2 linked regions of the Callithrix jacchus genome follow. Each later gene encodes a partner of the first gene's protein in a complex. Links are inferred from orthologs where the notes say so. Each region holds a gene or a part of one and is shown in the gene's direction. Other genes may lie near its edges. The genes, in order: NPR3 and NPPC.

The links.
Region 2: the proteins of NPR3 (region 1) and NPPC are in contact, whole or in part, in a crystal structure (PDB 1JDP), measured with the Homo sapiens proteins. The link is inferred for Callithrix jacchus from reciprocal best matches to the Homo sapiens genes NPR3 and NPPC. Residues at the interface, in NP_001191304.1 of Homo sapiens: Asn110, Tyr138, Ala141, Pro142, Arg145, Ala161, Gly163, Phe164, His166, Glu170, Tyr171, Tyr204, Lys208, Leu209, Arg211, Tyr214, Phe215, Leu217, Glu218, His221, Glu222, Gln225, Ile233; in NP_077720.1 of Homo sapiens: Gly109, Cys110, Phe111, Gly112, Leu113, Lys114, Leu115, Asp116, Arg117, Ile118, Gly119, Ser120, Met121, Ser122, Gly123, Leu124, Gly125, Cys126.

The regions. Positions count from the first base shown.
Region 1 is NC_133503.1:172,599,091-172,610,843, reverse strand, and holds the start of NPR3 (atrial natriuretic peptide receptor 3), read left to right. Parts: upstream 1-5,378; 5' UTR 5,379-6,477; coding exon 6,478-7,258; intron 7,259-11,753. UniProt on the Homo sapiens protein: Receptor for the natriuretic peptide hormones, binding with similar affinities atrial natriuretic peptide NPPA/ANP, brain natriuretic peptide NPPB/BNP, and C-type natriuretic peptide NPPC/CNP.
Region 2 is NC_133507.1:153,336,944-153,348,732, reverse strand, and holds NPPC (C-type natriuretic peptide), read left to right. Parts: upstream 1-4,956; 5' UTR 4,957-5,103; coding exon 5,104-5,193; intron 5,194-5,641; coding exon 5,642-5,932; 3' UTR 5,933-5,952; intron 5,953-8,969; 3' UTR 8,970-9,476; downstream 9,477-11,789.

The DNA.
Region 1 (11,753 bases):
AAAAATGGTGAAATGCTTTAGAAAAAGCCTGTGAGGACAATGCCTTAAGGAAATCAGAAGTTTGCAAATAGATAACTCATTTTGAGAAGGGACAAGATGATGTTGATAATGAAACCCACAGTGGCAGACCATCCACATCAAGTTTGAGAAAAAAAAAAAAACAAACACAACAAATAACCTTGTTTTTGCTTGTATCAGTCCATTCTCACACTGCTATAAAGAAATACCTGAGATTGGGTAACTTATAAAGAAAAGATGTTTTATTGGCTCACTGTTCAGCGGGCTCTGCGGGAAGCAAGATGACTGCCATCTGCTCAGCTTCTGGGGAGGCCTCAGGAAACTTATGATCAAGGCAGAAGGCAAAGGGGAAGTAGGCATGTCATACATGGCTGGAGCAGGAGGAATAGAGATGGGAAGGGGGAGATGCTATACACTTTTAAACAACTAGATTTTATGAGAACTCTATCACCATGGCAGCACCAAGGGGGATGGTGTTAAACCATGAGAAACTGCCCCCATGACCCAATCACCTCCCACCAGGCCCCTTCTGAAATACTGAGGATTAAAATTCAACATGAGATGTGGTCAGGGACACAGATCCAAACTATATCAATGCTGTAATTGAAGAAGACCAGCGATTAACAGCAGAAACAGCAGTCAACACCATAGATATCTAAATTGGTTCAGCTTACATACTTCCGATGGAAAAATTAAAGCTCAGCAAATAGTTCTGCCAATGGGTGCCAAAACTGTTGCAACCAGATTCATTGTAGACAAAAGTGGAACTTCCAATGGAAATTTTAAACAAGTGAAAGATCCCAAAGCGTTTGTTTGGAGAATTGTAACAGGACAATATAGTTTGAATATATGTCCCTGCCAAATTTCATGTTGAATTGTAATCACCAATGCTGGTGGTGGGGCCTGGTGGGAGATGTTTGTGTCATAGGGGAGTATCCCTCATGACTTGGTGCTGTCCCTGGCAATAGTGAGTGAGTTCTCATGAGATCTGGTTATTTGACTGTGTGACACCTCCCTGACAACCCTCAACCCTCTCTCAGCATGTGAGATGCCTGTTCCCCCTTCACCTTCCGCCATGCTTGTAAGCTTGCTGAGGCCCTCGTCAGAAGCTGAGCAGATTCTGGTGCCATGCTTCTTGTACATTCTGCAGAACCATGAGCCAATTAAATGTCTTTTCTTTATAAATTACCCAGTCTCAGGTATTTCCTTATGTTACTGCAAGAATGGCCTAATACACAGGAGATGAAACACTGCTTTACCAACATGATCCTGAAGATAAACACAATCAAAGTAGTGGCTACTAAGAGGTGGAAGTGGTTGAGAGCAAAGGTCATAGCAATGGTTTCTTGGAATGCTTAAGGCATTTTGCTTGTTGACTTTCTGGAGGATAACTTTTGTTTATTATGAGGGTGTTTTGACCAAGTTAGCCAAAACTTTAGCAAAGAAATATCTGGGAAAGCTTCACCAGAGACTTCTTCCCTACCATGCCAATACTCCTGCTCATTCCACTCATCAAACAAGGGTGATTTTTTGATGGGAAATCATTAGGTATCCACATTATAGTCCCAATTGGGCTCCTTCTGACTTCTCTTTGTTTCCTGATCTTAAATAAATCTGTAGAGGGCACTCATTTTTCTTCAGTTAATAAAGATTGCATTGACATGGTTAGGTTTCCAGGACCCTTAGTTTTTTTAGGGATAAACTACACGATTGGTATCGCCACTCAGAAAAATGTCTTGAACTTGATGGTTGAGAAATAAAGTTCATATTTTAAATTTTTATATTTTAATTCCATTTTCCATGAGCTTTTTGAAGTCCCCCCATATTCTCACTTTTTTGTGAATATCATAATCTACATCAAGTAACTTATCTATAAATCGATGATATGAAAATTCTTCATATGGTTTGCAAATATCATGCCGGTATTCAGGTTAAATCACGATTAGGTTTTACATTTTTCAGAAGTGTTTTTAATGTCACTTTGCCTCAGAATATCTTCAAAGAAGTGAAAGATTGTAGTTGATGGAAATCTAAGAGGATTATAATAGAGAAACAACTCTGTGTTTTCAAACCCTTAAGGTCACAGTTAGCTGCGGCTTCTGATGAAATGGAATCATAGAAAATATAAAATTACTATTATTTATAGCGCTGGCAAATTAAAATCATAGATTTGTATAATAGAAGAAAAGGATAATTTAATAAAGTCCCTGCTAAGGAAACTGAGAACCTAGAGGCAAAGTTTTAATTTAATTTTTTGGCATCCATTGATTCCCCCCCCCCAACTTCTTGAATAGTTCCCTCTAAAACAGCAACTATATGTTAAGAATGAAATCTCAACACTCATTACATTACAGAAATGTTCTTGAATTATTTGTAATGTTCTTTCATCTTTTCTGCCTCTAGGGGGGAGTGTGTTTTCAACAATTCTGTCCTCAGAAGGTATTTATTGTGGGCCACAGGCTTCACAGGGGTATTCTTGAATACGACATTAGGGCTGGCTCAACAAGGGAGAAGAGGCCCTTTGAAAATCTGGACGGGCTTTTACGTTAGAGGCTGCAGTCAGGATTCCAAGTGACAAGAGTTACAGAGACTGTTACAGTTGGTGGAGAAAACTCACTTCTGATAGAATTTCTAACAATACTTCACAGAATCACATGTTAGGTTGCCTATATTAGTGGTGTCTTTCCTGGTAGTGAGAAATAACATAAAGACAGTAATTTCATTTTGCAGAGCTGGAAAACAAACTGTTGAATACTCTATAGAAAACTTGCCACCTTAGAGTGGTAGCTTAAAACAACACAAAAAACCCAAACAACAAAACATGGCTTGTGGATATTAAGTAAAACATTTCTAAGCCTCACAAAAAGTCTATTCGTTTCTGAAATACCATGTTTAGGGCCAACATTGCCTTTCTTTCAAATGGCCAGTTTTTTTTTATTGTGCATCATTTTCTCATATCGTTCCTTTGTTTCCTTCGACAACTGAATCCAGAAAGGAAGCAGCCAGTATAAAGGTCATCACTCTTTTGAATGTTACAAAAGTATTTATTTTTTCCCCATTTTGGGGGTTTCACAGAATTGAAAGAAGTAGTATTTAAAAATTGAGTCAAAGAAATAAGTTATTTCTATTTTTTTTCCTCTTTTTTTTCTTTTGGTTTGTTTTGTGATTAAAGTGCTGCAAAAATTCTATCATAAAATATTATTTTTGGGTTTATTGTGCTGTATTATCCTCAAAACTTAGCCATATATATATAAATTTGATATAAAGAATGTTATTACTTAGAGTAGGAATTAGCTTTGTTCCTAACACTTTTTACATGATGTCACTGATGGTCCATGGTTTATTTTGAATCCAATCCCATTTAAAAATATTCTCAGGGGATGAAGACATCCCTTTTGGGCCTTAATTCATCTAGAGAGTGAGGGGTGTCAGGCTGGGTGACTTCTTAAGTCTTCTGGCCTGAAGATTTAGAACTACATATTTGCACAAACTTTCAGTTGTTTACAAAAATTCTAATTTGATGGAAAGTAAACAAACTTATAACATTAAAATCCATACACTAATGTTACTTGGTGGGTCTTATAATCTTGTGATTCTTTTCATTTGAAAAGCCTTTAAAAAAATTTTAACTTTTGCTCGTTGGAATTTTTAAGGGGGTGTTTTGAGCCTCAGCATAGAGCATAATACGGGCTTTTTGTTTTTCGTTCCGCGGAGTGGTTTGGGGGTTCTTCCCTTCCGCAGCTTGGTTTTGTTGGTGCTCTTAAGTGTGACAAACTGCAAGTCGACAGCTCTTGTCCAGAAGGAGAGGCTACAGGGCACTCACCCTACCGTGAGCGCCTGTTGAACTGTGGGCAAGGCTGGCTAGCATCTGGGATGGGACAGGCGTTCACACCGGGGCCACTGAAATCCCAGACTCTCCGCGTAAACCCACACCAGACATGGCAGAATCAAATCGACATCGGCTGGTGTTCCCCACACGCAGGGCACACTGCGAAGTAATAGGAAACCCTGGTTCCTTCATGTCTCCTGGCAACCAGTTTTGAAATCGATTAAGCCCCTTGGAATTGGAGATGTAGCCCTTGTTTTGTTGCTGTTCTTTTTTTTTTTTTTTTTTTTTTTTTTTTTTTTTTTTTTTTTTTTTTTTAACCTATGCTGCCATAAACGTAAACGCTTGCCCTTCTGCAAATTCAGGAAAGAATTAATTGTTGTGAAGCACTAAAGCTCAGTTTCCAGTGTGTGTGTATTACCCCGTTGGTCGAATGAAATTTTATATAGATGTCTCTTTTGCTCCCTATTTAGTGGCTCTAATCAAATAAATGAAAGTTCTCGCAGTAATTAGAAGCTCCTACATAACAGTGAAGATTTCGGGATCACAGTGCATAATCTGAAATCTAAATGACCCAGAAGCTGAAACGTTACCCACAATCACACTGACGGTTCCAGAAAGAGCGACAAGGAGAGTGCTGTTAAGGGCGGCGAGCGCGGACGCCAGAATTTGCCGCATCCCCAGAAACCCCAGTTTGCCTTTTCACCGCCAGAAGCGAGAGAACCCGAGCGCGTTGAGGCCTCGGAGTAAAAACGCAGCGTCTGGGACTGCGGCTCCAGGGTTGAGTCGGGTGCAAGTTTCTGCCGAAAGAGGGCGTTGGTCTGAGACCAAAAGAAAATGTGTGGACATGGGCGCTTAGTCAAATAAGACCGTTTTAACACATTTTCAGTGGATTTCGATTTGCGGGACTTAATTGTCAGAAATCTCTCGCCCAGTGTAGCACGTTCACATTGCAAAGGACGGGTGCGGTATGCATAGAAGTCCATCTTGACCCGCCCCGCCCCGCGGCGGACTCTGGCGATGCTCCTCTGGTCACCAACTCCTCCAGAACCGCTTCCCTCCGGTCTCCACCGCTGTTGTGGCTGTGGCCAGTGGTAGGACTGGGTCTCTGAGACAGGACCTTTCTTGGCGTCTCAGAACCCCAGCAGTACCCCAAGAGCGCCTCGCGCGCTCCAGAGGAGGAGCGCTGGGATCTCTGAGCGCTCAGGGTGGAGGGGAACGTGCATCGAACCCAGGGGACCTGCCGGAAAGGTTTTGGGAAAGACAGTCTCTTTATTTAGATACCTGGTTTAGCAAACAAAGCCCAAGGACGCTTTGGGGATGCTTTCTGAGCTTTGTGACACCTCCAGAAGTTGAACCTTTCCCTCGCCTTTGGGAGCAACAAGTTTCGCTTTCCTGCTCTCAGTGCGCGGAGGGTCTGTGGACTGGGACACCGTGGCCCGGCACCGCTGCGATTCCAGCGCGAACCTGCGTGGCCCAGCAGGAGGGGCTGGCTCGGGGCTTAGGAAGGCGGGGTGTGGGTGACGCCCGGGCCAGCCGGGCAAACCAGGTCCGCGAAGGAGCCATCTGCACTGGAACCTTGATACTGGTTCCCTGACCTTGCGCGGAGGGACCAGGAAGATCAGGTGCTCGCGCCGCGTAGTTGCGTCAGGAGGGAATGTGGCCGGAATAAGAAAGGTGAGAGCAAGCGGCACCTGAGGATTTTTGCACTGAAACCACAATTTCTAGAACCATTCCTCTCCCCGAGTCCTGTTGTTTTGTTGTACATGGTGTGTGTGTGTGTGTGAATGCGCGCGCGCGCATTTCTCTACTTTCAAGGACATTTCCTTCTTTAAAGCCCGGAGCCTGAGAGCGTGGCAAGGGAGAGGCGGGGATCTCAGGCGCGCGGCGTGGTGGGGGCTCTCGCCGATGCAGACGTGGGCGATTTCAGCTTTAAGGAAAAGGCAGAGGGCTGGCAGCGAGTGGGGGTTAGGGACAGGGGAGCGACGGGTAGGGAAGGGGTGCGGGGAGGAGCCCTGATGTAATAATGTTAATGGGAGACTTCCCCAGCCCAGTCCCCACCTTTCCCCACCCCCACCCACCCCACCCGCTGGAAATACAAGCCCGGCCTCGGCGCGCCGTGTGTGGTGACACGCTCAGCCGCTGCCACACTATTTAAACGCGGGCTATGGATCCAGGAACCGGCGCGAATCAATGAGATCAAACGCGAGGGAGATGCACCGTCTATTACAAACACTTGGACAAGTCTAACTTTTTTTTCTTTTACAAAAACGCTTTCAAAAGCAACGTTAGCAACGCCCAAATAAGAAGCCACCTCTAAACAAAATAGTATATGTATAAAGGGAGGGCGAATATATATAAGTATATGTATGTATATTACAGACGCACAGGTTTACACCAGGTGAACTTTTTCTTTTTCTTTTCTTTTTTTTTTTAAAGAAAAACTAGTGACATTGGAGGGAAGGACTCTTCCTCTCCATCTTTTGGCGCGCCAGTGAAGGGGGTATTCTATTTTCTTAAAGCGCCCAAGGGGGCGCAGGGACCTTGGAGAGAAGAGTGGGGAGGAAAGAGGAAGGGTGGGTAGGGGGCACAGGGCGAGTCGGCGGCGAGGGCAAGCGCTTTCTTGCGGCACGATGCCGTCTCTGCTGGTGCTCACTTTCTCCCAGTGCGTCCTGCTCGGCTGGGCGTTGCTGGCCGGCGGCACTGGTGGCGGTGGCTTTGGCGGCGACTTTGGCGGAGACGGCTGGGGCGCGGGCGTAGGCGGCGGACGCCTGGAGAGAGAGGCGCTGCCGCCGGAGAACATCGAGGTGCTGGTGTTACTACCCCAGGATAACTCGTACTTGTTCTCGCTTACCCGGGTGCGGCCGGCCATAGAGTATGCTCTGCGCAGCGTGGAGGGCAACGGGACTGGGAGGCGGCTTCTGCCGCCCGGCACTCGCTTCCAGGTGGCCTACGAGGACTCGGACTGTGGCAACCGTGCGCTCTTCAACTTGGTGGACCGCGTGGCGGCGGCGCGGGGCGCCAAGCCGGACCTTATCCTGGGGCCGGTGTGCGAGTATGCTGCAGCGCCAGTGGCCCGGCTTGCGTCGCACTGGGACCTGCCCATGCTGTCGGCCGGGGCGCTGGCCGCCGGCTTCCAGCGCAAGGACTCTGAGTACTCGCACCTCACGCGTGTGGCGCCCGCCTACGCCAAGATGGGCGAGATGATGCTCGCCCTGTTCCGCCACCACCAGTGGAGCCGCGCGGTGCTGGTCTACAGCGACGACAAGCTGGAGCGGAACTGCTACTTCACCCTTGAAGGGGTCCACCAGGTCTTCGAGGCGGAGGATTTGCACACGTCCATCTACAGTTTCGACGAGACCAAAGACTTGGACCTGGAAGACATCGTGCGCAATATCCAGGCCAGTGAGAGAGGTGAGCAGGAGTGCGTCCCGGGCCCCAGGCCCTAACCCAACAGCTCTCCTTGGCTCTCCCTACACACCCGTCCACTCTGCAGACCCCACTCCCCTCTGCGGCTCTAAGGGCGGGTGCGCGCGGGCAGTCCTTCAGGTGTGCTCTGTGTGGCTGCGATGACCTTTGACGACGCCCATCGCGGTCGCGGGGTGTTTGTAGAGGGCCCCAGGGAGGTTAAGAATTTGGAGGGAGGGTGTCTGAGTCCGCAGCTCCTGTCCTGCAGGTGCTGTGAAACCACTTGGGTTTTTTTCTTCCAGATTTCTACTTTGCCAGCGCCCGGCTGGCGATTAGGGCGCGCATTCCCAGTGCCTGGCTCCAACCAGGGTCTGAAGCATCCGAGGCGGAAAGAGCTTGTTCCCCAGTCCTTTGCCCGCATGCGTCCCCTCTTAGGGCGGAAACGTCCGCGGACGCCCGGCAGCCAGGCGTCTCCACTTGGCTCGCCCGCTGTCGGGGTTTCACTGACTGCTGTTTCCACAGACCCCTGGTTTCTTTTAAAGGCTTGTTGAATCACTCTTCTCATTCCTTTCATTCCCCTTCCAGCCCCTTATAAACGAGCTTCTGTAGCTTCCACCAAAAATGCCCCTGTGTGTCTGGACTCTGGCGACACTCACTTTCCCCGGCGCGTTCTGCATCGCAGTCTCTAATGCGCCCAGAGCTAAGCTTTGCGGGAGCGCCTTTTGAAGAAACGGGTGCTGAATCTTCTTTCCACCTGTCTCCCAATTTTTCTCCATGAGTCTTTGGGTATTGGAATACAACTCAAACTGGACAAAGAACTCGAGGCAGAGGATGTGACTATGGTTGCAGGGAGCGGGTGGATGCGGGTGTGTAATCGACACTGTGGCCCTTTTTACTGTAGGGTAGAATCCGAGGGAAGGCGGGTTGAGATCCCAGCATAGCGTAGCTCCCTCCTCCCTTGAGTCAGGGATTGAGGGCAGGCATCGAGGGAATCCTGTCTCTGCTCCCCTCGGCGCGCACGCGCCTGGAATTTGAGCAGTGCAATCCCGGCAAAGCTCCCCGAGACCCCAGGGCCGCGCGGATGAGACCGAAGGGGAGCGGAGCTGAGCCAGGCGGGGGACGAGTCCACAACTTGGCTTGGCCAGGCACCTGGGCGCTGGTCATAGGGGATAGGGCAACCTGAGGCCGAGGGCCCCACGAATAGGTGAGAGTGGGCAGAGAAGCCATTGATAATGGCGCTGCAGCCATTGCCTTGCTATCCTGGCCACTTCGGACTCACCCTTTAGAGCAAAGAGGCGAAAGGTGTTTGGCAGTGAGAAAGCGTGGCCAAGTTTTGAGCTCTCGAACTCCAGGCTGTCTGTGCCGAATCCCTGCCAGACAAGCAGGCGGGTCGCAGGCTTCGCTGATTATGAAAAAGGGCACCTGTATCCAACAGCTGCGGACTTGCCACGGCTAGTCAAGGAACCCACATCTAGGCTCCCAACTCCCAGTTGCCGGGTTACCGCAGCCTCAATGCGGGAGTCTGCGCCCCGAGCTGCAGTGGCTCCCGGAACCCGCTTCTTCAGTTCTCGGCTTTCGAGGGCAAGGAGCTAGAAATCAGACTTACCAAGGCGGGCTGGGGCTGGGGGTGTGTCCCCCTACGGGCGAGATCCGCGGTTTGCTGACAGGTCCGTGATGCCACTGCCCGGTAGGTCCCAATGTCAGCGGCTGCCTCATCGCACATGGCCTAGGATACTAAACCAAGGGCAGTGTGACCTCAGAGGAGGTCAGATGGCGGCCCGAGGCCCCTCAGCCTCACAGCGGCTGAGGCCTGGGGGTAGGCGGGCAGCAGTGTCCTGGCGGGCCTGGGGACTGGTGCGCCCTGGGCTTCAGAAGATTAGGCTGCAGTCGGCTGTTGGGAATTACTTTTTAATTCCAAACGCCTCATAGAGTTTCCGAAGTCTTTTTGCTTCCCCCACCGCCAAGTTTGCATTGAGTGGTGAAAGTTGGCTTAACTGAACTGTATATTTTACAAGTGATAAGATTAGGATCTTACAATTCTTACTCTAAAAATATTTCCAACAGTGACCTGGCAGATATTTAGAAATATGAAACAAAACAGCTTCTCCTCCAATCGTTCCCCCACTTCCACCCCGAAATTCCTTACACTCAGGAGAGAAAGTTGCTTGATAACAAAGCTCTCTTAGGGGACGTTTTACAAACACAATGAATCACAGTTACTTTACCATGAGCAATTAATGCATTAAATAGGGCTTCAGTATGTGGTTGCAGTGGAGTTTGTGGCTCATTCACTGGCCGGGGGATCTCGGCCTCTCAGGTAAAGTGGGGGTAGTCAGAGCACCCACATCTTTTGGGAAGCTGGGAGGCTGAGGGGAGCTAACACAGGAATGCGTGGGAGCAGTGTCTGATGAATATGAAGTGCTCAATAAATGTGCAGTTTAATTGTAGTTATTATTTTATATATGATCATGATCAACTTTACCCCAGGAGTGAGGCCAGGCTATGGGAAAGAACCTTGGGCTGAGATGCAGATGCCTCTGGATTTGGCTGGTCTTATCTGAGTTTTCTTCTCTGTGAAACAATGTGTGGGGTGAGAATCAGGCCTCTTCAAACTGATATTCTCACTCAAGTGTGAAATGCAATGGACAATATTTTTGCTTTTGAAAATTCCCTATTAAGCATTATGAATTAAAGTAGAGGGAGTTTCTCCCTCTTTTGGTGAGAATGTTGGTATTACTTTTTTGGACGTAAGTTTCTCTTTAAAACCAAATCACAAATGTTTGAATTTCTTAGCAAGTAAAAAACTGACCATGCCAGTATCTCAAATAATAATGCGACTAAAATTTTACTTGGCATATTGTAGAAAGAAAGACTAACGGACATCCATTATTTTACCATCTAAGTCAGTAATTTAAAGTCATTTTTTCCTGTCATGTCTTTTGCTAATACCACTACAATAAACAGAACTGAACATGTGTTATTTTTAAAAGCAATTATCTTTATTTAAAACGAATTCACTTGTACAGCCAGCTACTGCCCTCATATTCCACACACTTAACAATAAATTTTGTTTTAAAGAGACAGGCTTAGAAATAATTTTTTCAAGCAATTAAAGTCAGTAGTTGTTTTGTGGATGCGCTTTATATGATGCAGAACCAGAAGTATCCTGGTTTATATCAAGAACTGTAGTTTTATAGTTTTAGTTATTAGTATGTCATTAATCTGGGCCTGCATAATGACAGTAGAGATAACAGTATTTAATCAATATAAGAGTCATTTATTTTTAGAATTTGTCTGGGGTAAATGATTGAGTGGTCAATCAGCAGTGTTTTTAAGGAAAGAACCCATGATAAGTGTAAAATAACACAGGAGTGGGGAAAAGAAGAGCTTTGTAGGCTGCAGTGTGGAAATTCTAAAGGCCTTTGGAGTAGATGGAGCTTTATGAACAACAGATACAAAGATGCAATCTCCATTTTGCAATGATATCCATTGCTATGTAGGTAGAAACAGCCATAGAGAAACCTTTTCTGAAAAAAATTAGATTTTCTTTTTACCAAAGTTTAGTTCTACAGCTATAGAAAGTGAGAAAACTACACAAGACTTATGAGGAGAAAAAGATTCCTGTCTCCTACTTGCCATGTTTCACTTTCTAGAAGCAACCATTTTCAATTCTTGTTAGCTGTTCCTGCAGGTATTGGCCTTTGTATCTTTTAATAACATGCTACTTTTTTTTTTCAGTTTTAGATCTTATCTCTTGGAATACCAGTGGAAGAAAATTTTCTTCTCGGTCATTCTACTGCTTGTTAACCACACATGGAAGTTCTTTCCAGTCATATTTCCGATATGGTTGTTTCCAAATTTTTCTCAGGAGGCTGAAGCAGGAGGATTACTTGAGTTCAAGTGTTTGAGGCTATGGATTGTACTATTTGAATAGCCACTGCATTCCAGCCTGTGCAACATAGCTAGACCCCATCTCTTGATCATTTTTTTTTTTTAGTTAGCCCAGTATTCAATATAAATATTATCATTAATTTCTAAATGATATTTAAGGTTAAGTCATACAGGCTCTTATGTTGACATTTCCTTTTTCCTCCTACTTATTTTCCATGGAGTTTAAAAAGTCTGTTTTTGTTTATTTGCTTAATTTACTATGGATTTTTAATTAAATAATCTTTTGATTCTTTATTTCAAGCCTCCTGAGTTGTTTCAGTTAGTTATTTTCCAGGTATTTTGCACAATTGCCACTCTGGGTTCTTCAGTATCCTCCTGGGGCTTCCATCACCTCTCTGTTGAGCTAGATCCCTGTGTGTTCCTCTTTTTTGATTATGCTTTTGTTTTGATGGAGCACATCCTCCAAGAGCTTTCTGAGAAAGGTTGAGTAAGACCTAAATTTTGAGAGCTTTTGTGACTGGAACATTTTCATCATACCTTTATACATAATTATAGTATTCTAAGTTGGAAATAATTTTTCCTCAAAATGTGACAGCATTGCTTTACTGTC
Region 2 (11,789 bases), on another chromosome or scaffold:
CACTACCCTGCTCACTTTCTTGGAGCTGAAGCCTCACCCCCTGCCCCCGTCACCTGCCCGTTGACAGCCAGATGGAGAGCTGTTGATTCCCCCAGGGAACAAAGCCTATTTGTGGAGGACCTATCTTTTCTTTTTGACAAGCGAGGGAAAAGGAGGAATGAACTCTGACGTCATGGGCTGCGTAGGACAGTGGAGTTGGAGGCCATCTGGAGCAGGTGCTGGCAGGGCCCCTGGGAAAGGGAAGAAGGGCAGCTGGCTCATCAGATGGGGGTGTCCTGGGGTCAAAGACTGGTGGCACAATGAGGTTAAGGTTTCCTGGAATCTCTGGCCCGTGAAGGATGAATGACACTTCCTTGGCCTCCACCTCCTCCAGTACTCCAGTCCAGCCCCATGGGCTCAGGACTCCTGGAGAAAGGTACCAAGCTCAAGGAGACCTGGCCATGCCCTGGCCTCTGTGTCCTCTGAAGGGCAGCACCACTAAACAGTCCTAGGGAGTCTCAGGGGCTGCGGGGGTCCTATCGCCAGAAGTACGAGTGTGCATGCAGTGACATTCAGATCTCTCTTCCACCCCAGCTGCCTCCTGCTGCGTTTGTCCAGGGAGAGATTGGAAACCTCTTATCAGGCCCTGGATTCACTCTGCCCTGTCTAGAAAGCAAGGATGATGTTTTTCTAATTACAGGTGGTGAAACTGAGGGCCCCACGCAGTGACAGGACTTGGCCAGGGTCCCGCAGCAATTTCCCCACCTGGCCTCAAGACCGGCTCACTGCCTGTTTAGTGTCCTCTCTGAGAAGTTATGCAGCTGGAAGGGGGCCCTGGGATGAAATAATTGCAGAGAAACAGATGGGCCACTCTGTAACCCTCCCCTCCTGTATGCCTGAGAACCTGCCTCTGCAGCCCTGGGGCCAGGAGAGGGCGCTGCTTCGCAGGGCTCATATTCCTCCCTCCTGGGACCTGGGCTGGACAGTCCCGTCTTAGCTGCTCCTTCCCCAGCTTCCCAGAAGCCCTTCCACACACCTTTCTCCCACCAGGCATCCTGACCAGGGCCCACTCCCATCTTCCATCGCGTCCTGATTCCGGCCAGACGTTGCCTGTCCCAAGGAAGGGCCCCTCTCCAGTAGGTGTGAGAGTCTCACCTTGCCCTTCTGGGAGGAAAGAAAGCCTGAAGAGGGGCCCACAGAATGGGGTCCCGCCCTTCAGAGGGCAAGAAGGGAGTAAACAGTCCCACCCAAGCAACTCTCCGACGCTGAAGGCTCTGCATACCCCCAACCTACTGTGGCAGAGCCGATACCCTGGACTCACCCAGACAGCTCTCTGACACTGAAGGCTGGCTCTGCCTTCCACTTCCTGCTCCCTCCCACTCCCCCCACACCTAGCTGACCCCCTTCCCTTTGCCTCATCTTCAGGCACCCCCAATGAACTCATTTGCCCTTCCCACCTCCAAGAGCTCAGCAGTGTTCCCTCTCTCTGTCACACACTCTGCCTCCAGAACACCACCGAACTCAGAACTGCCTCTCCCCAGCCTGCCTCCTCTGGGCTCCCCTGCCTGAATCCCTCCACCCTCCCTAGGTCTGGGCACGTGGGGTTCTGCAGTCTCACAGGTCTCCTCTGCCCTCTGCGTTGCCCTTTGTGAGGTCTCGCATTTGGTTTTTCTCGAATAGCACCCCCCAGGCCTGACTCTAGCACATTCCACTGTTAGCCTGGTTTTCTTTTCTTTTCTTTCTCTCTCTCTCTCTCTCTTTTTTTTTTTTTGAGGAGTCTTGCTCTGTCATCCAGGCTAAAGTGCAGTGGTGCAATCTTGGCTCACTGCAACCTCTGCCTCCCAGGTTCACGCGATTCTCTTGCCTAAACCTCCCGAGTAGCTGGGACTACAGGCGCCTACCACCATGCCCAGCTAATTTTTGTATTTTTGGTAGAGACAGGGTTTCACTGTGTTACCCAGGATGGTCTCGATCTCTTGACCTCATGATCTGCCCACCTTGCCCTCCCAAAGTGCTGGGAAGCCTGGTTTTCTGTCAAGGGTTTCCTCTTCTCGTCCTTTCTCTTCCTGTGTTTCCAGGCTCAGCACAGACTTTTCCTTCTCCAGGAAGCCCACCCTGCTAGTCCGGGATGGAGGAGGAGCCTTCCTTGGGTGGCCTCAGCCTGAGCTGTCCCCTTCCCTGGTATTGTCCTTTTCAGCCTACGAAGCTCATGTCTGTCTCCAGTGGGTTCTTCCTGGCTGGGATGGAACCCTGCAGGCTTCAGGGATGCTCAGTAGATACTGGGGGGGAATCAGCGAGATCAGTGAAAATGACAGGATTTCTTACAGAATGACTGGGTCCTTGGGGCCTTTAAATTTCCTCTTTTGCCGTTAGGAGGAAATTTAAAATTCAGCAGTCAATAACATGACTTGAATAGCTCATATTCAGCTGCTCAGTCAGTTCAACTTTCCCAGCCCATGCCCCTGGGGCTTGGGGCAGAAGAAGCGGACTTCATAAGGGAAAAGAAGCAAGAAGGGGCTTGAGTCCCAAATGGAGGCCCAGGAGGAAGACAGGGCCTCCCCTGCAGCTCCCCAGGCAAGGAAAGCAAAAAGAGAGGGGAAATCTTTGTTTTCAAGGCAGATCTGTGCTAATGACACACCTCCACAGTCCCTCTAGCCCAGGCCTCTGACTCCCTCCCACCTCCCAGGCCCCAGCTAAGTAGAAGCTGCTCCACAGCCTGCCCTGGGGAAGCCTCCTTCTGCAGATGACCACCGCCCAGTGGCCAGGAGTGGCAGCTCACCAGATTTCCCTTCCAAAGAAGGGAACAGGCATTCAGGGTATTGGCTCTGCCACAGTAGTTGGGGGTGTCAGTTTTATTAATTTAGCTTCAAAGCTGAAACAGAGAGGAGAGCCAGATAGTCACTGGGCAATCACCTGGATGCAAATGTGTCCAGGAACACCAAAGACAGGAAAGACCGGTCTACGGACGTTCAGGTAGAAGGAAGTAGCCAAAACAGCGGAAGCTTCCGACCTGCCCTTAATAAGGGGCTTTAGAGGATGTACCACCCGCCCCTGGAAACCAGCCCAGAGCTTGACTCTAGAATCAATCTCTGTGGCTGTCCCTGGCTCTTTAAACAGGTATGAAGAAAGCACGTGTCAGAGAAGTTCCAAATGGTAACATCCTTCTTTGTATAGCAGGCAAAAAGCAGAGGGAACTTTCACAGCCCACCTGGATTCCCTCCCTATTCTGCCTTCTAGTTCCTCTTCCTTTCTCCTCAAATGAAAGAGTGGTGCCACTCTATGGGTGTTAATGTGGAGAGGAATTGGGGGGCTGCGTGGAGGTGGTGAGTCAACTCCAGAACCCACAAAAGGTACCCTGTTGATGTCTGGATCTTCCTGGAGACCAGGAAATTTTGCTGCCCCAAACTCAGACCTCAGGTGTAGGCTGTTTCCTGCACAAAGGGACCTGTGGAGTGGTTGGTCCAGCATTGTGACTCAGGGTATAAGAGGGAAGGGGTAGCTTGAGAAAGGGGCCAACAGATCAGACAATGATGCTGCTGCCTCTGCAGCTCTGGGACCAGGCTTACTGCCACTGAAGGTAGAGGAGCCTAGGGGGAAACCTGGTTCTCGAAGCCCCTCTTCACTCCAGCTGCCTTCCTGCCTCAGGCACAGCCTCCTCTTCCTGGAAAAGCTCATCTGGGCTTGGAATGGTCTCGACGCTTGGGGGCAGCCACTGCACTCCTGCCGAAACATTTGTTCTCATCTGTCCAGCCTGAGTCCTGCTCAGCAGCAGCCAGTCATAGATTCTTGCACCTCACTCAATTTGGGGGATCTGGGCTGTCCGCCTCTGCGGCTCACACCTCAGTACCCATGTGCCCACCACACTCCTTAGTGCTCAAGGGACCAAGAAGCCCAGCGCAAGGCTTGCAAGCTCATGACCGGCAGGGATATGTGGCCGTGTCCCGAGAGCCACGAGGACCTTTCTACAGCTAAAAATGGGAATTTGACCACCTGTCATGGCCAGAAGAGGCCAGACTGGGCCGCTGGCTGGCTAGGAAGCTCCTTCCCCAGCCTGGGAAGGTGCACAGGATACTGGAGCGGGTTTCCCTCAGCAGCGGATCTTCGCGTGGGTGCAGGCAGGGTCAGGCGCTCATTGTTCCCACAGACGGAATTCACCAGCGGAGTCAGACCCAGGGACGTTCTTGTGTAGGCGACACCGGCTGAGCGTGAACCTAGAGCCTTAACTGGCGAGCATAGGATGCCGCCAAGCACACGCATGAACATCGACGTCTTGGGCCGCCCGCGCTTGCAGTCCCCTCGTTGTCGCCTCGCGCTCAAATACTCAGGCTGGCTGCAAGCTTGTACTCTCCGATGTGGAAGACTTGCGCTCCCCATTGCGGCCCAGGCGAACCCCGCTCTCCCTGCGCCTCCCACCCCAGTCCTCCAACCCCATCCTCTGCTTCCCCAACCTAGCGAGGCCGCCTGTGGTCTGCCCTCCTGCCCTGGCAAGCAGGTGACAGGCAGAGCTGCTATGCCATCCCGCGCCTGTCAGACGACAAGCAGGGCTGCGTGGATTTCGGGCAGCACCAACTTTCTGCCTGTATGACTTCGGGCAAGTGACTTCATTCCTCTGAGCCTATCTTTGCACCTGCAAAGAGGGCTACAGATCCCTTCCAGGTAGGGCGAGTGTGGTGAAGACCCAGCGCTTTCACAGGGCACCAGGCGCACCGATGCTCGGCAGGCCAGGTCGCGCGTTCGCTGCAAATGGAGTTCCCCAGGGCGCGCTGCTTTGCAGCTCCAAGTGCAGTACGGAGCGAGCCCGCCGAGCCGCGGGATCCCTCCGGGGTGGGTTGAGGGAGGGGAGCCCCCCCCCGCGGCCCCCTCCTGGCCCTTGGCGCTGCCGCGTGCGTGGTGCCATTGGCCCGGGCTGCCCGGTGGGCGGGAGGATGACATCAGCGGCAGGTTGGATTATAAAGGCGCGAGCGGAGTCACGGGCCCAGAGCGCACCCAGCCGGCGCCGCGCAGCACTGGGACCCTGCTCACCCTGCAGCCCCGCCAGCCTGCTCCGCACCTGCCTGCCGGTCTGCCCGCCGACTCGCGCGCCCTCGCTGCCGCCTGTCTGCGCCCCTCGACCCCAGCGGCACCATGCACCTCTCCCAGCTGCTGGCCTGCGCCCTGCTGCTCACGCTGCTCTCACTCCGGCCCTCCGAAGCCAAGCCCGGGGCGCAGCAGAAGGTGGGTGCTGTCTTGGGGACACCGAGCCTGGGAGAGGCTTGGGAGGCTGGGGGGTTGGAGAATGCGGCGCGCAGGACCCAGCAGAGAGGAAAGGAAAGCGGCCCTCTCCTCCGAGATGCGCGCGGGCGAGAGCCGGGGAGCCCTCGAAGCGCCTACTCGGGGGTCCCTATCCCCAGCCTCGGGAGAACGTCGGCCCACGCGCAGCCCCCTGTCCCAGTGTGGCCTGCCGGTCGAGCGGCGAAGGAGGGGAGGGCAGGGGGCTTCCGGAGTGAGCGGCGGCGGCGGCCGCGTGGCAGGTGGATGAGGGGCCAAGGGGGCCGGAATCCGTAGCGGCGGCTCCGGGCTCGGGAGGGACACCCGGCGCCGGCGGGCACGTTGGGCTGGAGAGTCAGAGTCTCTCGTGCTGCAGCCGCGCGTCCCTTCACCTACCCGCTCTTTCCTCGGACAGGTCCCGCGAACCCCGCCGGGAGAGGAGCTGGCGGACCCCCAGGCTGCGGGCGGCTGTCAGAAGAAGGGCGACAAGGCTCCCGGGGGCGGGGGCGCCAACCTCAAGGGCGATCGGTCGCGACTGCTCCGGGACCTGCGCGCGGACACCAAGTCGCGGGCCGCGTGGGGCCGCCATGTGCAGGAGCACCCCAACGCGCGCAAACACAAAGCATCCAACAAGAAGAACTTGTCCAAGGGCTGCTTCGGCCTCAAGCTGGACCGAATCGGCTCCATGAGCGGCCTGGGATGTTAGTGTGGCGCCCCCTGGCGGCGGTGAGTACTGCCGACCCCGCGCCCACCCCCAGCCCGGCCCCGCCGCCCGCCGCCCAGCCGGCCTTCAGAGGGGAGAGTGCGAGCCCGCTATGCTCAAGCTGTGCTAGCCGTTTGCCGGCCGCCCCCTTATTATCCCACTTACAGACAAAGAAAGCGAAGGATAAAGTGATCGGGGAACTTTGGCAAGATCAGAAATGGCTCAGCCTGGTTGAACCCACCTGGCTTCTTTTGGAGAAACAGAAACAAGCTTGGTGGGGTCTTACCCACCCCTCAACCGTAGCTGAACTAGCAGCATTGGCCCCGATTTGCCAGCTGGTGGGGGGATTGAGGGGAGATCATGGGTTTGTGGGAGCAGAGAAGGAAAGGTACACCCAGAAGTCCAGGGGACATTCATCATCTGCCGGCCACCATGCCCCCTGTAGGGAGAATAGCCCTCTGGCACTGTCGGGACCCTCTTCTGCCTGGGGCACTCCAGTTCCTGTCCCTTCTCTAGACCCAGGCAGTGGGCAAACTGGTCTGTCCAGGGTCCTGAGGCAGCTGCAGCCTGGTGGTTTCAGGGTGAACCTCAGTGCTTGTGGCTATTTCAGGGAAAAGGAAAGACACAAAGTAACTCAACCTCAAACTCAACATGTCCCAGAGTCCCTCACCAACCCTCTCCCCCACCCAACCGGTGCCCCAGGCTCTGTTTCTGGTGTGGGGTCTCACATGGCGCTAGGGTGGGAAACCTCTGCCCTACCATCACACTCTGCCAGGTGCCACAAGGTGGTAATTTCCAGCCGCAGAGGGCCTCACCTCTCCTTCCCTCTGCTCTATTCCTGCCACCTGACAGTGCCCACTGAGTAACAGCACCCAGTCTCTGACATCGACAATCATGTGCGTTAGGATCAGGCTCCCAAGGCTTTCTGGCTTTCTTGCCTCCAGCTCAGCAGCTGCCACTGCCTGTCCCACACCTTGACTGTCCCACCCCAGGCCATGGGCAGGCTGCTGTCTCCACCCCAGAAACCCTCGTCAGCATCCGATCTTCACCCAGAAGGAAACGAGAGCGCCTCTCCAGCACACTGTAAAAAAATAGTTTTTACAGTACAGAACATGTTTGCACAGTGTGTGAACCCATTCACCTCCCCGTATTGAACAGCTTAAGGCACTCCAGGACCCACTGCACCCCTAACAGACTCTTAGAAATATTTGTCAATCACCAGAGAAACCGGCACTCCCACCTACCCTAGGTTTTAACCAGCGCACTTCCTCTCTTTGCAGCCAGACCTCACTGGGCTGTGGGCTTCTCCCCAATTCTGCAGAGGCTTCAGTTGTCTGTGACCTTGACTGTCCCTTGCACAGGGAGATAAATGATTCTGACACTTGGGAACCAGACTTCAGTAGCTACCCTTGGAATGCCTTTGCTCTCTTTTCTCCTGTCTAAACAAGAAAGAGATAATCTGAGGCCTCAAATTTTCAATTTGACTTGTGTCAAGTTCAAACTTTCGAATCTGAACAAATGGTAGTGAACCTTTCATGGGTTCATGCCTGGAATTCACATCCCCATAGGGCCTTGTTCTTGGGCCTGGCTGTCTGCAGTCACCAAGTGATGGCCAAAAGGGTGGAGAAAGATGCTATGTAGGAGGAATCCACATTGCTAAGAATTCTCGACCCCTTTGATGGGGAGTAGGTTTCATTAATCTCCTACAAGCTCCCTTAGCCTGGATGAACACTTACCCTCAACCCCTCAACCCCAGCTTACCCCCAACACCAGCTGTTTTATTATTTGGAAGGGGGGTGTGGTTTTATTATTTTGTTTTTTTTTTTTTAATGAAAAATAAAAACCTCAACCTCACTGCCCCCCATTCCCAGTGAGAGAGCAGAAATCCTTCCTGCAGGTTCCTGGTGGTGATGCCCAGGGTGTATCACTGGGCTTAAAGGAAAAGACAGCTTCGATTTTTCACGTTAAGGAAAACTCAGTGAGGTTTTGGCCGTAACTCCATGCATGCGTTGACTTGGGCTCTGAGCACCACCATAATGATGGTCGCAGATGGTTCTAGGTGTTGATTGTATAACGCTAATGACAGAGACAGGGGTGTCTGTAACCTGAATGAACACTTTGGCCCTGGGGCCCAGCGACATCACAGAGAGCTGTCATCTGTGTAAACACCTGGCAGAGCCAGAGACGGGAGTGGGGGAGACTTCAAGCCATTCTGGCCCAGGTTCATTCAGGGCATGCTCTCCTTTGGGAGGGCACTGAACGTCCTAGAAGGCCACCTTCCTTGGTCCCCGGGGCACCCATATACCCATTAGCAGGGACTTCACCCTGACAATCCTCAACCCAGAGCCCATGACTGTGCATCCCCCAGGGCTGGTGTGAGACACCATTTCCTCTGCCTCTCAAGGGGACCTGAATCCCTTCCTCTGCGCAAACAGCTGGGGAAGGAGGTGCTGTTTGCCGGGTGGCACCTGAGACACAGACTCTGCCGATGCCCAATCCGAGACTCCCTGTTGAATCCAAAAGCCAGCCACAGGGAGGTGGCTATTATCCTGTTTTATGGGTGAACACTCCAAGCCATCCAGGGTCATCTAGGGAGTCAATGTCAGGGTAGAGATGTGAGCCCAGGCTTCCTGACTCCTGAGATGTCTCCTTTCTCCTTCCATCCACAGTCACCCATACACACAAAGCCCAGGCAAGCACTGACTGAGGGTTTATGTCATAGCAAAAAAGGGATGGGAGATTTTCCATTCTCTCTGTGCCTCCCTGAGGGCCAAGGGCAAGGCCTGTGGTTAGGCTGAGGGGGAAGGAGGGCTGCGGACACTCTGTTTCCACCTGGGCTGGGATGGCAAAGCCAAGGGGGCTGGGGAGTGCGCAGAGGGAGCCCCCCTCCGCAGGAAGGCCTGGTCAGGACAGGAGAGGGGCAGGGGCATCCCTCAAGCTGCTGTGGGAAGGGGAGGAAAGGGTCTAGAACCACCCAGCCCGCTGGGATTTCTCAGCTAAGAGGCCAGAACTGAGCATGCATGTCCATTCTGTGTTTCAGGATTGGAAACTGGCTCCGTTGTGCTGAGGTCACCTTTGGTCATCAGCCTCCAGCATCTGGAAACACCTCCAACGCAATGTGGCTTTTACATTTCTTTCTTTCTTTCTTTTTTTCCTGGTACTGGGAATACATGACACCAGCTGTTTTATTATTATTTGGGGAGGGGGTTGTGATTTTATTGTTTTTTTAAAATGAAAAATAAAAAGTTATATATTATATATATATTATATACATGAAACACACACACCTACACCGACTCGATGACGAGGGACAGTTTTTAAGAGACTGACAGAACCAGCTGTAAAACATTGCTGTTTGTAAATTCATGTCATGCCTAAATGTATTTATGTTGTAAAGCTATTTATAATGTTTATAAAGAGATATTTATAAAAGTTTTATTTATGTAACTAAATGAAAGAAGTCAATCATTGTAATGCTTTTGTCCTAACTAGTTGAAAAAATGTAAAAAAAAATGTCATTCCATGAATATCTTGAAAACCATCTTCATTTACTTGTCTTTATTTTTTCGGACTTAGGCTGAGGCAGAGGGAGAATGTGGAGAAAAGGCATTTGCTTCCAAATAGATCTGACAGCCAGATTCCCAGTTCCGGATTTATCTGTGTCAGGATGCCCTGGAGGGCTTGTAAAATACGGATTCCTGCCTCCACCACCCTCTTATCTACCGAATCTTATAGGACTGGCTGTACAAGTTTTGTCCCAAGTGATTGTTGACCAGCTCAGCCAGGTCAGGAAGCTCTGCTCAAACATCTGACTGCTACAAAGTCAGACATTATGAATTAAATTAATAATGGCCAGGCACGGTGGCTCACACCTGTCATCCCAGCACTTTGGGAGGCCAAGGTGGGTGGGTCACCTGAGGACAAGAGTTCGAGACCAACCTGGCCAATATGGTAAAATCCCAACTCTACTAAAAATAGAAAAATTAGCTGGGTGAGGTGGTGGGCACCTGTAATCCCAGCTACTCAGGAGGCTGAGGCAGAATTGCTTGAACTCAGGAGAGGGAGGTTGCAGTGAGCGGGGATCACAGACTGCACCCTAACCTGGGCAACAGAGCAAGACTCCATCTCAAAAAATAAAATTAACATTGAACTCAGCTGACTTAGGGTCCTGTAACTTCTGCTCCATCTTCTGCTATTAGTGGAGGAAGTAGCTGCTAAACCTCTGTTTTGGGAGATTTAGAAGGCTTCTGCATATCTTGCAGAATCGATCACGTCACCTTACAAATCCCAGCAACTCTGTTTTCTAGACTAGCTCACAAAGCCCAGGGTGGGTAGTTTCTGCCTCGTAATGACTGCCATGGTCAGCTGCGAGCCAAGACCTCGAAGAGGAGAAGGTATTGTCAAGTTTCGTATCTGTAGTGTGCTGTGCTTTGTGGGAGGGTTGCGGGTTTTCTTTTCACTTGAAGCCACTGACAATTACATTTCCTATGCCCCATGGAGCTATGAGTGTGGAATAATGAATATAATTTAGAATTTATGAATATAATTTAGATGAGAATCTCTTTTCCTAAAACCAGCAGGAAACTTTGAAATAATTCCAAGGTGTTCTCACTACATGCTCGGTTGGATGACAGCCCTGTGCAGCCTTCCCTGTCATCCGTCGCCTGATAGGGGAAGGTGGGGACATGCCCTCTTGGGCTGATAACACCAGTGGATTGGCAGCGCCCTGCTCAGGGGATTTGGGAGCAGTGTGGCCCTGTGCTCATGGATCTGCAGGCCTGGAGGAAGAGTTCCAGAGAAAAACCTGTCACTGGGGAGGTAGCCAGTGGCACCTGGTCTTTCTGTGGGTGTTTGAGCCCCAGGACCTTTGCCCCAGGTAGCCCTCCAGCAGCAACCTCTCAGGTGGCTGGGCAGCCAACACAGTGACATTGCCCAGGTGAGAAATCCTCTTTTAGACATGTTCCTGGCTGGGCATGGTGGCCACACCTGTAATCCCAACAGTTTGGGAAGCCAAGGCGGGCAGATCACTTGAGCCCAGGAGTTCAAGACCAGCTCCAGCAACTTAGCGAGACCATCTTTACAAAAAATAACAAATTAGCTGGGTATGGTGGTGCCCACCTGTAGTCTCAGCTGCTCAGGGGGACGCTGAGATAGGAGGACTGCTTGTCCAGAGATCAAGGCTGCAGTGAGCTGTGATCACCCCACTACACTCCAACCTAGGCAACAGAGTGAGACTGACACGCACAAACACACACACACACAGAGAAAGAGAGAGAGAGAGAGAATGCATGTTCCAGCTTCTCCAACTTCCCTCACAAGTTCATTTCCTCTCAACTGCCACAGGTGCCCCAGCAGACACTTCATCCCCCTTCTTTGGGGGCCCCTGTGGAAGCCACCCAGGGCACGGCTCCCTTCCTCTGCCTCACTCCCATCTCCGAGGTTGGAAGATCAGGGGTCCACATCATGGACGCTGACAGATCCAGCACCCCAGCCTCGCCAGTGAGTGTCCCAGCTCCCTGTGCTGTCTGCAGACCCCTTACAGGGAGGGAGCAGTGGGTGACACTGCCAGCTGTGCTGGTGCGTCTTCCCAAGGCCCAGAGGCAGAACAGATGGCAAACCATCTAGGGAACCATCATGAGAAGCTAAAGGGTTTTCCCTGCGGACAGTGCCCGGGCTGCCAGGATTCTGGGCTGATGCGGCCGCTCAGGCCCAAGCCACACACACTGTCCTCCTAAGTGCTCTTGTCCTGCATCTTTGCCTGCAAACAACACACACAGCCCTCTGCTGCCAACTTTGGCCCTTGCCAGGCAGAGGCCAGCCCCTCCGCTGTTGCTTTAGGATGCAGTCATACAGCCAGTCC